Nothobranchius furzeri: one gene and its partner. The protein of the gene in region 2 binds, or shares a complex with, the protein of the main gene of each other region. Links are inferred from orthologs where the notes say so. Each region holds a gene or a part of one and is shown on either strand. Other genes may lie near its edges.

The links. The genes of interacting proteins can lie anywhere in the genome.
Region 1: the proteins of rps6ka1 (region 2) and sntg2 are in contact, whole or in part, in a crystal structure (PDB 7QQL), measured with the Homo sapiens proteins. The link is inferred for Nothobranchius furzeri from reciprocal best matches to the Homo sapiens genes RPS6KA1 and SNTG2. Residues at the interface, in NP_002944.2 of Homo sapiens: Pro731, Ser732, Thr733, Thr734, Leu735; in NP_061841.2 of Homo sapiens: Gly82, Gly83, Leu84, Gly85, Leu86, Ser87, Ile88, Lys89, Gly90, His94, Ser101, Lys102, Phe104, His134, Val138, Leu141, Arg142.

What each region holds. Positions count from the first base shown.
Region 1 is NC_091758.1:38,842,913-38,849,618, forward strand, and holds the start of sntg2 (gamma-2-syntrophin), read right to left. Parts: upstream 4,270-6,706; 5' UTR 4,206-4,269; coding exon 4,134-4,205; intron 1-4,133. UniProt on the Homo sapiens protein: Adapter protein that binds to and probably organizes the subcellular localization of a variety of proteins. May link various receptors to the actin cytoskeleton and the dystrophin glycoprotein complex.
Region 2 is NC_091758.1:28,127,096-28,133,792, forward strand, and holds the start of rps6ka1 (ribosomal protein S6 kinase alpha-1), read right to left. Parts: upstream 3,574-6,697; 5' UTR 3,413-3,573; coding exon 3,236-3,412; intron 2,232-3,235; coding exon 2,115-2,231; intron 2,014-2,114; coding exon 1,932-2,013; intron 766-1,931; coding exon 685-765; intron 564-684; coding exon 484-563; intron 69-483; coding exon 1-68. UniProt on the Homo sapiens protein: Serine/threonine-protein kinase that acts downstream of ERK (MAPK1/ERK2 and MAPK3/ERK1) signaling and mediates mitogenic and stress-induced activation of the transcription factors CREB1, ETV1/ER81 and NR4A1/NUR77, regulates translation through RPS6 and EIF4B phosphorylation, and mediates cellular proliferation, survival, and differentiation by modulating mTOR signaling and repressing pro-apoptotic function of BAD and DAPK1.

The sequences.
Region 1 (6,706 bases), about 11 Mb from region 2:
AGATCCTCCCCAACCGGAAATCGGACTGGTTTTTACAGCCTCTCCTTTTTGCTGCTCCCATTTAGTTGGACATGCATTTAATGGAAAACACAAATCCGGGAACAATTCAAAGAATAATGGAACATAATGCAGCGAAGCTCTCACCCCCAAGTTCCACTACCTCCGCTCCGACACGAACGCCGGAGCAAAATCGGTCCCGTTGTAGTCATTTCCACAGTAAATGGACAGAAATCACAACGGCCCAACAGGAAAAGGAGCAAGCACAACTTCCGTATTTCACAATAAATCGATAAACAAAAGGCGTTTTTTGTTTCATATGCACAGGTTTAACAACTTTTAACAACTATTAATGGCGGCTGAAGTTTAAATGCACAAAAGTAAGCCATAAATACAGTTTCTACTATAAAAGTAGTCAGGCTTTTTGTGCTGCTTCAATTATTTCAGTCCAAACACTCATTGGTGTTATTCGTTCCCTCCTCGTGTACCCCCAAATTCCACTACCTCCGCTCCGCTCTGGTCCGCCCCCGCCTTCCGCAGCCGCTCACTTCCGAACTCAATTTTTACTGGTACCCGCTCTACAACGGCTCCGCTCCGCTCCGGAGACCTGAGGGGGGCAAACAGGCATGCGCGGGATTTTCGAGATCTTGCGATACAGTCCGAGCAATAAACGCGGAAGTTAGATCCAAACACCCGTCGTGTGGGAGAAGCATCGAAATGAACTGTTTAATCTGCCCATCATTTGTGTTAGAGATCAGCAGTGTTTGGATCATCAAAGTGTGACTACTTTGATAGTGGCAACTGTATTTATGGCTTACTTTTGTGCATTTAAACTTCAGCCGCCATTGATAGTTGTTAAAGGTTGTTAAACCTGTGCATATGAAACAAAAAACGCCTTTTGTTTATCGAATTATTGTGAAAAACGGAAGTTGTGCTTGCTCCTTTTCCTGTTGGGCGGTTGTGATTTCTGTCCATTTACTGCGGAGGTGTTCCGGCGTCCGGCGAAAATAGGATCGATTGTATTTTTGCCGGATGCCGGAACAGAGGGCGGCGCACGGCGCCGCACTGCCAGAGCATGGCCGCAGTAGTGGAATTGCTCTGATTGACTACAACGGGACCGATTTTGCTCCGGCGTTCGTGTCGGAGCGGAGCGGAGGTAGTGGAATTTGGGGGTTAGGAACAACACCTCCAGGATAACGCCGTTAATTACAAAACTTATGAACTTCTAACTGGTACAGATCTAACATAGTAAAGCATCAGCAACCATCAGCATTCAGTGAACTAGGAGCTCATAAAATCAACGCCCCTGTCGGGTCACAAATGCATTATGGGTAATAGCTGATGCTTTTAAATGTGCCCTCAGACAAAAGTGGTAATTACAGAGAAAGGTTTTCGTCTTCAGAAGTCACTGGAAACGGTCGTTATGTGTTTGCTGCACACTTGGCCGTTTGAGAGACCAGATCTCTTTAACTATTAACCATCGTCATAAGCTTTTTTTTACTGTGTGGGTGTCGGACGAGCCCCCGCACCGTGAGAACAAACATCTCATCTCTAAAGCTGATCTTCATCTGCACACGTCACGTGATCAGGAAGCAGAAAATCCATGTGTTAGGAGATCGGTTTGGGCCGCTGCTGTACAGAAAGTGAAGCGCGAACCGGAAAAGCTTCTGCCGATCACAATTCAACAACGGATTATGAAAGAACGGATAACGCTCGAAACGCGCGGATTCTTCCTGATGTAAGAGGCGAGTCTCCTCTTTGTTTTGTTGTTTTGGCAACGACATTATCCTAGCGCGCAACGTTCTGTGACTCTTAAAAGAAACAGTAAAAACTGTGAGAAATGCTGGCAGCGAAGGGCTCTACCGATCAGGAAACGGCTGGCGGTGAATGAGTTAAAAGTAAATCTTGTTTCACTGATAATTTACTGGAATAAAGAAATAAATGAAGTCCTTTAAAAGCAGAAGATGTGCAAAATACACAGCTGGTGCCATTAAATGGTTAAATATAGACATGAAGCCCTCTGCTCCAAGTGTCAGTACCACGTGGTTCCTGAAGGGGGCGCCACACACAAACCACAGGAACTTAGAAATGTCATAAAGAAGAACACGCTTCGCTCGTTGACATTAGAGCTGCGTGTTTACTTAAAATTTGTCAGTTTTGACTTAAACTCCGCTCAGAGACGATGTAATCCACGAGACCACAACAGAAAACGTCCAAGAAGAAAACCAGACTGACTTTAAGCAGCGAGATACCCGACGAGAGTGGTGAGGACACTTTGTGGTCCAGATGCAGTGTAGCTGTGCCTTTGCTCGGTGACTCGGTCAGATTTTAAACGTACAAATCTGCGTTTACGACGGTGATGGTGGGGTGAGACTAACACGCGTTACAGGGGATATTATTCCGAGCCTTCACCAGACAAACGTGCTGCTAGAGCTAAATCAGGCGTGGAGACTCTCCCAGCGTGCGGTGAGGAGAAAACCAGGCTGTCCATCACAGACCTAAAGCACCCGACACACAACTCTAACACAGAGCCATTAGTGTTTGGACAGGACGAACCAGTCGGCTGCATCAACTCAAACACCCCCTGAGCTCGTTTGGAAGTCCTTTCTGCCCCGACCCGCTTCACATCTGACTAATCAGACATTTGATCATTAGGATGCTTCTAATAACAGCTGACTGGCGGCCATAGGGAGAACAACAACAGAAGACGAGTGCCTTTTCAGTCCTGTCATCACGTTTCATCTGTGATTGGTGATCAGATTCAAAGAGTTTGTTATAGAAACTGATCTGAAATCAGCTGCTTCGGAAACTTTGGTCATTAAAACTCTATTAAGTCCATCTGAGAGCTTATGAATGCAAATATCTTATCAGCCAATCAGATGCCTGCATTTACTCAACCAGAAGACTCGCTGAAGCTCAGAACGTTCATCTGAACTGAGATTTAAGATACTTTGAACCAGCAGGTCTTATCTCCTGGGAATGGAACCATCAAACACTTCTAGAGCAGCAGCTTAGCACTGGTTCCTACCAAGGTCTGCAGAAGCACAAGCTGCTCCTGATGAACTCCAGTAGCAGAAGACCAAACCAGTTACCAGGCATCTGTCTTGTCAGCTAAGAACAGGAGACCGAGGCTACAATCCCCACAGGATCAGCTGAACGGGACCAGAAGAGACTGGAAAGCTTTTTCTGGTCTGATGAGTCTAGATTTCAGCTGTCAGGTCAGTCACCATGTCCCAGAAGCTTTGGGATGTGGTGGAACGGGGGCTTCTCATGAGCCGATGCTGTCATGTGAGGATGGACCAGGACCTCTGAGGAACGTTTACAACACCTGGTTGGATCCGCCCAGGTACCAGTCAGGTGTACCTGAGCAGATGCAGCCTTTTACTAAACCATGTTGAAGTCACAGATGGAGATCGTAACAAGAAGGATCAGAGGCTTTAGTTTGGAATAAAACACAAAATGAAACTAAGACGTATCCATGGAAACGTGAACTTCATGTATGACAAAAAAGGAAGATTGATCCGTTTCTGATCAGATAACTGATGGTATTTTACAGCTCGTGTGAGTTTTCTGTAACATGATGAACAAGGAGGAATTTCTAAAGGTCGGATCGTTTGTTTTCCTTAAACTCATCAGAACACAAAGATAAGCTCAGTGATGCTAATAAATGATGAAAATCTCCAACAACACTCTGGCACCGAGATCACCACCAACCTAAAAACTAGGAGATATGTCCCAAAATAAGGCTAAACGTCACAGCTGTGACCCTTCAGGTCACCATGAAAGAAACAAGATGAAGGGAATTAGTTTCAAAAGCAACAAGAAGCTGGTGTTTCTGGCCCTTCGGTTAAGTTGTGTTTTTGTTTAAATTAAAGCGCAGCATTCATGCCGAGGTGTTCTCACGTTCGCCCTGGTTCCGGGTCGGGTTCGGGTCCGAGGCTCAGTTTGAGCTCCGGTGAGTTTTTATCTGTAAACACCCAAAAGGTGGAGTTTTTAAAGGAGAAGCTGGACGTCTCATGCACATCAAAGGGTACCGCGCGTGCTCTTCGCGTGCCAGCGCAGATCAAAGGGTTGCCGCCGGGCTGAAGTTTGTGAATTTACCGGAGGATTAAACCCCGCAGAGCGGGTTCACTCACCGAGGTTGGTACCGGGAGGCTGGCGGGTCGCTCAATGGACTCAGGCTGGTGCTGCTTCCCGGTCACATTCATTTCCAGCCGCCGCTCACTTCACCGGGAGTTTCTCAAGTCATTTATCCGGCGAGCGTTTATCCCCGGTGTCCAGGTTACGGGTCCGGTACGGCATGTCTGACGGTTCCGTGAGAGTTCTGAGCGGCTCGCGCCCGGAGAGACCGGAGAGGGTCGAGCGGCAGCGGGACCGAACCGGCGGTGAATCAGCGCTGATTGTCCGCAGCTGCTGCGACCCAACCTGAATCCTCACGCGTCAGAGAGCATTAACCCTCTCACCTGGTCCTGGACCATATCCACATCAGTTCAGCAGAGGCGATGATAGGTCCATAAACACGGGGGGTGGGGGTGGGGTGCCTCATATTTACACCTCATTCCTGCATAATTTTTACAATAAATAAAGTTTAATAAAAATGTCCAGTTATTTAACTCGATAAGCTTCTCCTGCATGAAATAAAGATGAAATTAGGATTTTTAAAGTCGCCTTCTGATGGACGAACGATGGGCGACATGTTTGTCGGCTACACCTGGACCACAGGGGTCTACGAAGCTCAGAAAATCTTCACTAAATCAACAAATACCAGTTAAATCAAGTTTGAAGTTATTCTTTTTTTTCTCTCCATTTTGGATTGAAATTCAACAATCAGAAAATGAAATTCTGTCATTTTATAAATTTCAGTTAAAAAGAAAGGTCATGAAAATATCTGTGAACCCAGATTAGACAGCTTCAGTTCTGATCCCAATGTACAGGTGTGTAGCTGGCAGGTGCGGTGCATTATCGGATGGTTTTCTGAGTGTTCCACACTGATGTATAGTTTACTATAACCCCTGAGATTATGGCTGAATTGAAAAACCACTTTAGAGATTATTTCCAGTTTATATCATCAATAAAGCAGCTGATAAAACTCAGCAGCCGCAAGTCAAGAAAATAAATGTTTGGGAGTTTAATAAATGGGTTGAATTAACAAACAAAGCAGAAGGCGGCGTTCTGGCTGCAGATCTCTCCCATTCATCTTGTTTCCGAGCGGCTCCATTTACTTTCTACCCACAGTGCCCTTTTTTCTGTCGCCTTTCCCGTCTGCATCTTTTCCTCCCGCAGTTTCAGGCTTTTAGATAAATTTTTAGGCAAATCCAGGTTACCCTGGCAACAATGGGAGAAGGCAGAGGAGCTGGAGGAGTGATGCTCACCAGACACAACTCTCACGTTTACTGCAGACCCTTCGTGGGAGAGGATTCTGGGTAATAATAATATATAGAAGCTTGTTTTAACCTGTTGAAAGAAAACTCACTAAAATGCTTGAAAATATAAAGTTTTAACATTTAAATGTTTTTGTGTTTGATGTTTTACATCCTCTTTTGAAATTTAAACCTTTCACTTTTTTGCCTTTTTTAACCCTCCCACAGTCCTAATGGCTGTGACCCCGCAAGGAAAGTTGACCATTGGGCAGGGTTGATGGTTTATCCCTTGAGGTCCACGTGGCAGGGGTGAGGAGTGAGCATCACCTCATCTCTGCCACGTGGACCTCAAGGGATAAACCATCAGTCCTGCTCAATGGTCAACTTTCCTCGCGGGGTCACCCATAAAGACAGTGGGAGAGTTAATAAAAAAAAATCTGGCTCTAGTATTTAAATGTGTGATTTAATAAAACCAAATAAGATCAAAAATCTGCACTCGTTAATCGTCGGTTTTCTCCAGTTAGATAGATAGTTCCTTGTTGGGAGTTTTGGTCAAAACCAAAACAACTAATCTGCTTTTTCTCAGTAAATATTTTTTCCAAACCATTTTTTCCTTTCGTGTAGTTTTATCCACTGGTGATAATGTTTTGCCTTTGTTAGCTAAACATCTCCTAAACGTCTGGATGGATTTTAACGTTCGTCTGAAGACAATTAACCTTTGGTGCCAAACAAATTCAAGATGGCCGCCACAGAAATTCATGGATTCTACAGATGTCGAGTTATAATTTGTGCTTGTAGCTGAGCGTCAGTCTAAACGCAGAGGTTGGGAATGATGGGTAAAAGTTATCGTGCTAACTAGAGTCTGAATGTTTACGGTGGTAGAAAACGTGTTTCTTTGTGATGATGATGTCATTTATTTGTTTCATAAAGAAAAAAAATTGTGTTTGCTTCGTGATTTTGTTGCTGTCACATTTGACAAACCTCAAATTGTGGGTTTGTGACCTGCTTCTGGTTTTAATCCTCCTGTGTTCCAGTTTAACCAAAACCATCGGCTCTGTGGGAAACATTCTGAAGTTTGTTTCCTATTTGGTTTCATAAATTCCTTTTTAACTATGAAGCAGGTTTCCGAGGACCTTTAACGGCCACTTAAATCATCGATAAAACAGCCAAACCTGCCAGGAGCCACCGAGATTTTGGTTCTGAGTCAAGTGTTTTTCATGATCTGAGGCAAAGCACACAGATTTTTTTCAAGGTGAAAATGATCAAAAGAAGCAAATAAAAAAAGGGGGGGGGGGGGCTTCATCCCACTAAATCACAGCTCTGTTATGGATTCAGACACAAATAAAACA
Region 2 (6,697 bases):
TGGAGATGGTCCAGTCCTAAAGCCAGCTCGGCCAGATAAAACTTCACATCCTCTTCTGTGAACATCACCTAGGAGTAAATCATACAAGTGATAAAAAGTTGTACCAAACAGATCAGACAAAATAGATGGTTCATTTTTTAATTTAAAGCCCCAGTCAGTAAAAACAATTCAACTCTTTAGCGAAACGCAGTTCAGGGTAGGTATTGCATCTACGGTAGCCCACACACATCAAAAAGGCCATGCCAAAGCGCAAACGTGAAATGCAGAGCATTATATCTTTTATGTCCGTAAGGAGCTCCTGTATTTCAAGATGGCGCTTGACAATGGAGGGTCAACTACAGCTTATGTATGTAAAAATGTAAAATTTTACGCTAATAGGAATAAATAAAACAGATATTGATGAGAAATATTAATAAAAAAGGACAATTTTATAGTAAATAAGTAAATATATTACAGACTGTGCTTTTAGGGATTCCCCTTTACCTCTTTAGAGAGCCGTGTGAAAAGATCTCCACCTCTGAGAAAATCCAAGATCAAGTATAACTTCCCTTCAGTCTGGAATGCTACAGATGAATATTCAAATATAAATCATCAAGCATGCACAGCTCAGATCTTAACGTTAAAACTCAAACAGTAATATTATTATCTCTGTTTAAGTGATTTTAATACAGCGAGCTGGCTCACCGTAGTGCAGCTTGACAACAAATGGGTGGTTGACGTCTGCAAGGATGTTTCTCTCCATCTTGGTCCTCACGCGGTCTCTGACTGAAGGACAAGAGTAAAAAGTCAATGCATTTTTCTATAAATTCTTCATCTGTGTTATTTGAAAAGAAAATACAAGAGAAGATGGTTTGTTTCTTTTATTCTTTTAAAAAGAACCCATTTCCAATTAAGAAAATCAACAGAACTCAGAAATACGCTATGAAAAGTTTAGATAACTTCTTTTAAAGTTGCAGAAACATGTTTATCGTGTCTTGGTGACATTAACTCAAGCAATATTTTTTTTCCTGGAATTTGAAATAAAATGATTAAAAGATGTCTAGATTTGAAGACAGATGTAAAGTGAAAAAAAAAAACAATTTGTACTGGAAATTTATTCCTGTTAATCAAATAAAAACTACATGGATTAATTAATCTGTGGAAGAAAATATGTTCTATAAATTAAGTTAAAATGCTGCATGGTGGTGCAGTGGTTAGCACTGTTGCCTCGCAGCAAGAAGGTTGCAGGTTCGAAACTCGGCTGTGGCCTTTCTGCGTGGAGTTGCGTGTTCTCCCCATGCAAGTGTGGGTTTCCTCCGGGTACTCCGGTTTCCCCCACAGATCACAACATGCCCTACAAGTTAAGAATTGTATGTCGCTTTGGATAAAAGCGTCTGCCAAATAAATAAACATAAATAAAAAAATAAAAATAAACATAAAATGCATTCACACTCATTAATAAAATGAATAAGACACGCTTCTTAATTTTGATTATTTCTTTGCAGTTTTACTGTGAACACGAAGAAGCATTTCAGCCAGCACATTTTAATTAGAGTTTTGGTACATATTTGCTTCCATATTGTGAAAGAGAAAAAAAATGTTTTGCAAAAAGTGACTGATTAGAGCCGATGAAGATGTCTTAGTTGGCATTCACTTTTGATTTGCACGACCTAAGCTAACCACAACCCTCTGGGAGACCGTGTGAACAGTTTGCACGCCCTGTTGTTTGTTGAGAAGATGAGACCACATCATCTGACAACAACCCACAGAAAGCTGGGGTGGTCTTTGCTTACAGGTGACATTTTTTGGCAGATATGAAACTGAGACTAATAATCACTACAAAAATAAAAAAGATCACAGGAAACCTTCCAAAAAACACAAGAAAATAATAGTATTATTATTAATTTTCATCACCTTTATCAGTTATGGAGGGTTATTCCAAGTGTGTGTACCTTTAAGAGTGGCCTTCTTCAGGACCTTCATGGCATAAAGCTCGTTGGCATCTGGAGGGGTCACCTTCCGTACAAGGAACACCTGCAAAACAAAAACAACCCTTATGCTTCTGGAGAGCGACCGAATTAAACAACGAGAGAAAAATATTTAAAAGTTGGACAAAGCGAGCCTAGGTGTGTTACCTTTCCAAAAGACCCCTGACCCAAAACTTTGAGCAGCTCGAACTGCGAGGCGTCTGCCTTCTCCGAGCCCTCCTTGACCACGTGGGTGATGTTGATCTCCTTGATGTCTCCATCTTCCTACAGAGTGAAAGCACAAAGCAGGTGCGTGAGCTGTAAAAGTAATCTAAGATGGTCGATCTGCAAATAGAACATTTCTGAACAGATGCGTCTTTGGGCATAAATAGAACCGTTTATCAAAATAAAAGCACAGAGAAAGAGGAAGCGCAGTAAAAAGAGAAACTGGTGTGCAAATGTAAGAGATTATGTTCTTATAAATGAGATGCAATGCTATCGAGTTTCTGGAACTAATGGTGACAACGGAGTTAAATGGAATTACCGGAGAACTCTTAAAAAGGAACATGGGTCTAGCGTTTAGTTATTTTTGGTCAAGAGCTGTTAAAACCACAGATTTTGCTCTTTGATCAAGGACTTGTGCAGGTTTATCTCTGGGTGGAGTAACGTTTGCGCTGCTGAAAGCACATAAAAATACCGTCAAAAGATAAAACAAGTTCAGAACGCTTGAGTTTGATGTTTGCAGAGCAGGAAAATATAAATGATGACTCTGAAAAGCAGCAGTGAAAGAAGAAAAAGCACTTTTTCACTCCAATGAAAGGATCCAGCTTGGATTTTTTTAAAACAGATTACTGCACTCAATTTTTTACATTGATTTTAGTTAATGGTCACCAGAAGAGGAAGCACCTACTTCCAACTCATAAACCATAGATGTATTACTGGTAACAAACAAAGGTGGATCTTCTGATGCCCAGACGAGGGACTCATGATGGGGTTTTATTTTTTGTAGCTACTTTAGATTCAGGTTTTTGTGTAATCTTTAAAAAAATGTTACTTGTTAGATTTTAAAAACAACCACAAACCACTGAAGCCTGGATCTGTGTGACAACAGGAAACCAGCCTATCAGCTGCGCCTCGCTTCTGAACAAACATCAACAAAAACACCCTCATTTGCACTTTGCAGTGACAATGCATCTCATATTTCTTCACATAACCTAAAAAATTAGAAAACAACTCAAGTGGGAAAACGTGAAGAAGACAGACGTGAACTTGAGGAGGGATCACTTTACCGTCCACTGGTTCCTTGGTTCGGGTGAAATGTCACCGTCTGCTGCAGCTGAGGCTCTGCAGCCGTTACAGCGAGCGGGACTACCAGTCAGGGATTTGTTCTTTCTGAACAGGTAAAGGGACAGCACGCGGCTCAGCTTGAACTTTTTTTTGTCCTTTTCCATCTCAGCATTGTCCATGCTGTTTTACGCTCCTACCCGCATCCATCACAAGGCGACCGCCGCAGCAGCTCGCACAAATTCATCTCAGGCTCTCTTCAGTGCGAGCACGGCTCAGACTCTCTTGTGCTCCCATGTTAAAGTTGGTTCTGCAGGTGAAAGTCCACAGCATCTGCATTTTATCTACCGTCCTGTTTTTTAACAAAATGCATCTTCTTCTCTTCCATCGTGTCTCCTGTCATCCCTCCGTTTGTGTTGTTCTGGTTTGACCTGCGTGCCCTCTCTGCTGAAGTGAGCTACAGCTAGAATGAACAGGAAGGAAGAGCCTGCTCGTATTCTCGCAGTCCTGCGCCCAACTAGTGGAGCGCAAACACATCTGTGGCCGACACAGACAGAAACAGATAGAATTGCAAGAAAGCAAAAGAGGAGAGGAAAAAGTGTAAGAATAGCTGCCAATCAGACTGAAAAAGCAAAGCAAACACTTAGAAAATACCTCAAGAGCATGAAACTAAGATTGGGTAGGTAGTTTAACATTTTTAAACAAAACTAAAACAAAAATGTTTCAAACTGACTCTCTGACCTTTTCCCCTAATCTGGCCTTTCCAGTAGATGCGTAACAGAAGCGCTTTATCCGCAAACTCTCTTTCCACTGGAGACATGAAACGGTAGGTGGTCTCACAGACAAAAGGGGATTTATCTTTTGCGAACTGGAGATAAGTGATTAGCATGGCGTTCAACCTTACACCACATCGGTGTATTGTTTTAGCTGGTGGTTGTAGTGTTAGCAGGAGTGTGCTAGCATCGCGAGTGCTGGTATCCTACTGGTTTTAGATCTTAACCTACTTGAACTCTGCAGATTCATTTAAAGGGAGTGATTAGCAGTTCCTATAGAACCTGATGAAGGCTGAGGAGGTCATTTGGTAGCTAGAATCAGGTATATCTGAGCAGGAACACACCAAAACCATTACTTTTCCTTCAAAATGTTGTATGAGGCGTGCTTTTCAGCTCCTTCCAGAAGGGAAAGGTGGCGGGCGCTACAGTCGTTCCAATTTCAAAACCGTCTCTTCCTCTCCTTGATGACATCATGCTATGGAGCACAGCTTTAACTTTTGCCACAGTATAAACACAGGAGAGAGAGAGAGAGAGAGAGAGAGAGAGAGAGAGAGAGAGAGAGAGAGAGAGAGAGAGACAGAGACAGAGAGAGAGAGAGAGAGAGAGAGAGAGAGAGAGAGAGATGGAGCACGGATGAAGTGTCCACATTACCGTGACAATTCGGACAACTAACATTTTGGCTGGGTGACAGACAATTTCCTAATTGTGGAAAATCATGTGAACAGCTCCATTCCTGCTCACCTTGTCACCTGAGATGTCTCTATTTTCTTTCCCCTGCATCACTTTTTTTGCTCCTGATCCAATAATTCTGCAGCGAGTAAATCAGCTGTGGAAAAACCGAGCTCCCCAGCTCTGCACTGCAGTCTGAAAGCTGGACGCTTTTCTTTTTCCTGATTGGCAGATGAACAATCCAGAGGACAAAAAGACAAAAATGCATAACGAAAGCTAGAAGAAAGGAGGAGCGACACTGACTGGTTTAAATCTTTAACAGGTGAGGGCTTACCTGTTCTCTAATATTGGCAAACTCCCTCTCTACCCAGCTGATGTGTGACTCGTTCTAAAGGGACCAATTTAATGGAGCAGTTAACTTTATTAGGATTACTACATTTTGCACACACACACACACACACACACACACACATACACACACACACACACACACACACACACACACACACACACACACACACACACACACACACACACACACACACACACACACACACACACACAAGGGGGTAAAAGTAGCGTGATGGTAGCCACACCAGTAACAGGAAACCTCGCTTCCCTCCCAGTTTTCACTTCCTCTTTATTTGAACCGATCTCACTTCCTTCCTGTTCGATAAGTCCTACGAACTCGTGCCGAGTCCCCCGGTAAAACGCTAGAGATCTCAGAGATGTTATAACACGCCACTCTGATCTCACCCCAAATCAAATCAACTTTATTTATATAGCACTTTTCATACATAAAAATATGCAACTCAAAGTGCTTCACAGATTAAAATGGCCCCATAGATCCTATATTCCCATCCCAGCCCCCCTCCAAGTATAAAACAATTGACAATTACACTTCCCCTCCCGCAACCAATTTCCAAGGGCCAGCGCTGCTCTAACGAGCAGATGCTGTTGTACTGAAAGGAGTCTCCAAGTTTAAAACTGATGTCGTAAGGACTGTTTAGGAAAAAAATACAAATAGAGAATTTTAAAGTGTGACTCATACTTTTTAATTCATTATCAATTTTTAGACAGAAAGAAGATATTTCATCTGAGTTTTTATGATTAATGACGTGGAAGACTCTTTAATTTCACAGCTGAGAAGTCAGTAACCTTCATCACACGCAGACCCCCCTAACCATTATATCACACACACACACACACACACACACACACACACACACACACACACACACACACACACACACACACACACACACACTGTGTTTCTTTTTATCAAACATGCAAAAAGAAAACAAAAAAGTGACCACTTGCCTCTTTTGCATGAGTTTTGGTGCGGAATATGAACCTCCACATGTCCAATTATTTCCATGTCACTGACGCTGTCACTGGTGAGTCTCAACTGTCTTACAAACACACAGCTTCTGTGTCAGTTAGCCAACCCTTTGTGTGTGTGCAATACCACAGGAGATGAAATCTGCTTGCACACACACACACATGCACACGCACGCACGCACACGCACACACACACACACACACACACACACACACACACACACACACACACACACACACACACACACACACACACACACACGCACACACACGCACACACACACACACACACGCACACACACACACGCACACACACACACGCACGCACACACACACACACACACACACCCCCCAAAATGGGAAGTTATAAAAATGGGTAAAAGCAGCAGCAGATGGATTTGTTGGGGCTAAAGAGGGAGGGTGACACGACTCTTGGAGGAAGGAATAAGACTTGGTAAAGGCTCAAAATGCAGATTAAACAAATGCAGCTAATTTACATAATAAGGACATTCATTAAAGGATCACCAAAAGGAGGAAACAGATCTTAAATCTGAAGAACATGTACATTGTGTTCAAATGTAGCCATTTATTTGAGTTCTATTTGATAAGAAGACTGCATCACAATATTATTTAGTACTTCTCATACATCCTTTAGAACAGGGGTGGGGAACCCTGGTCCATCGA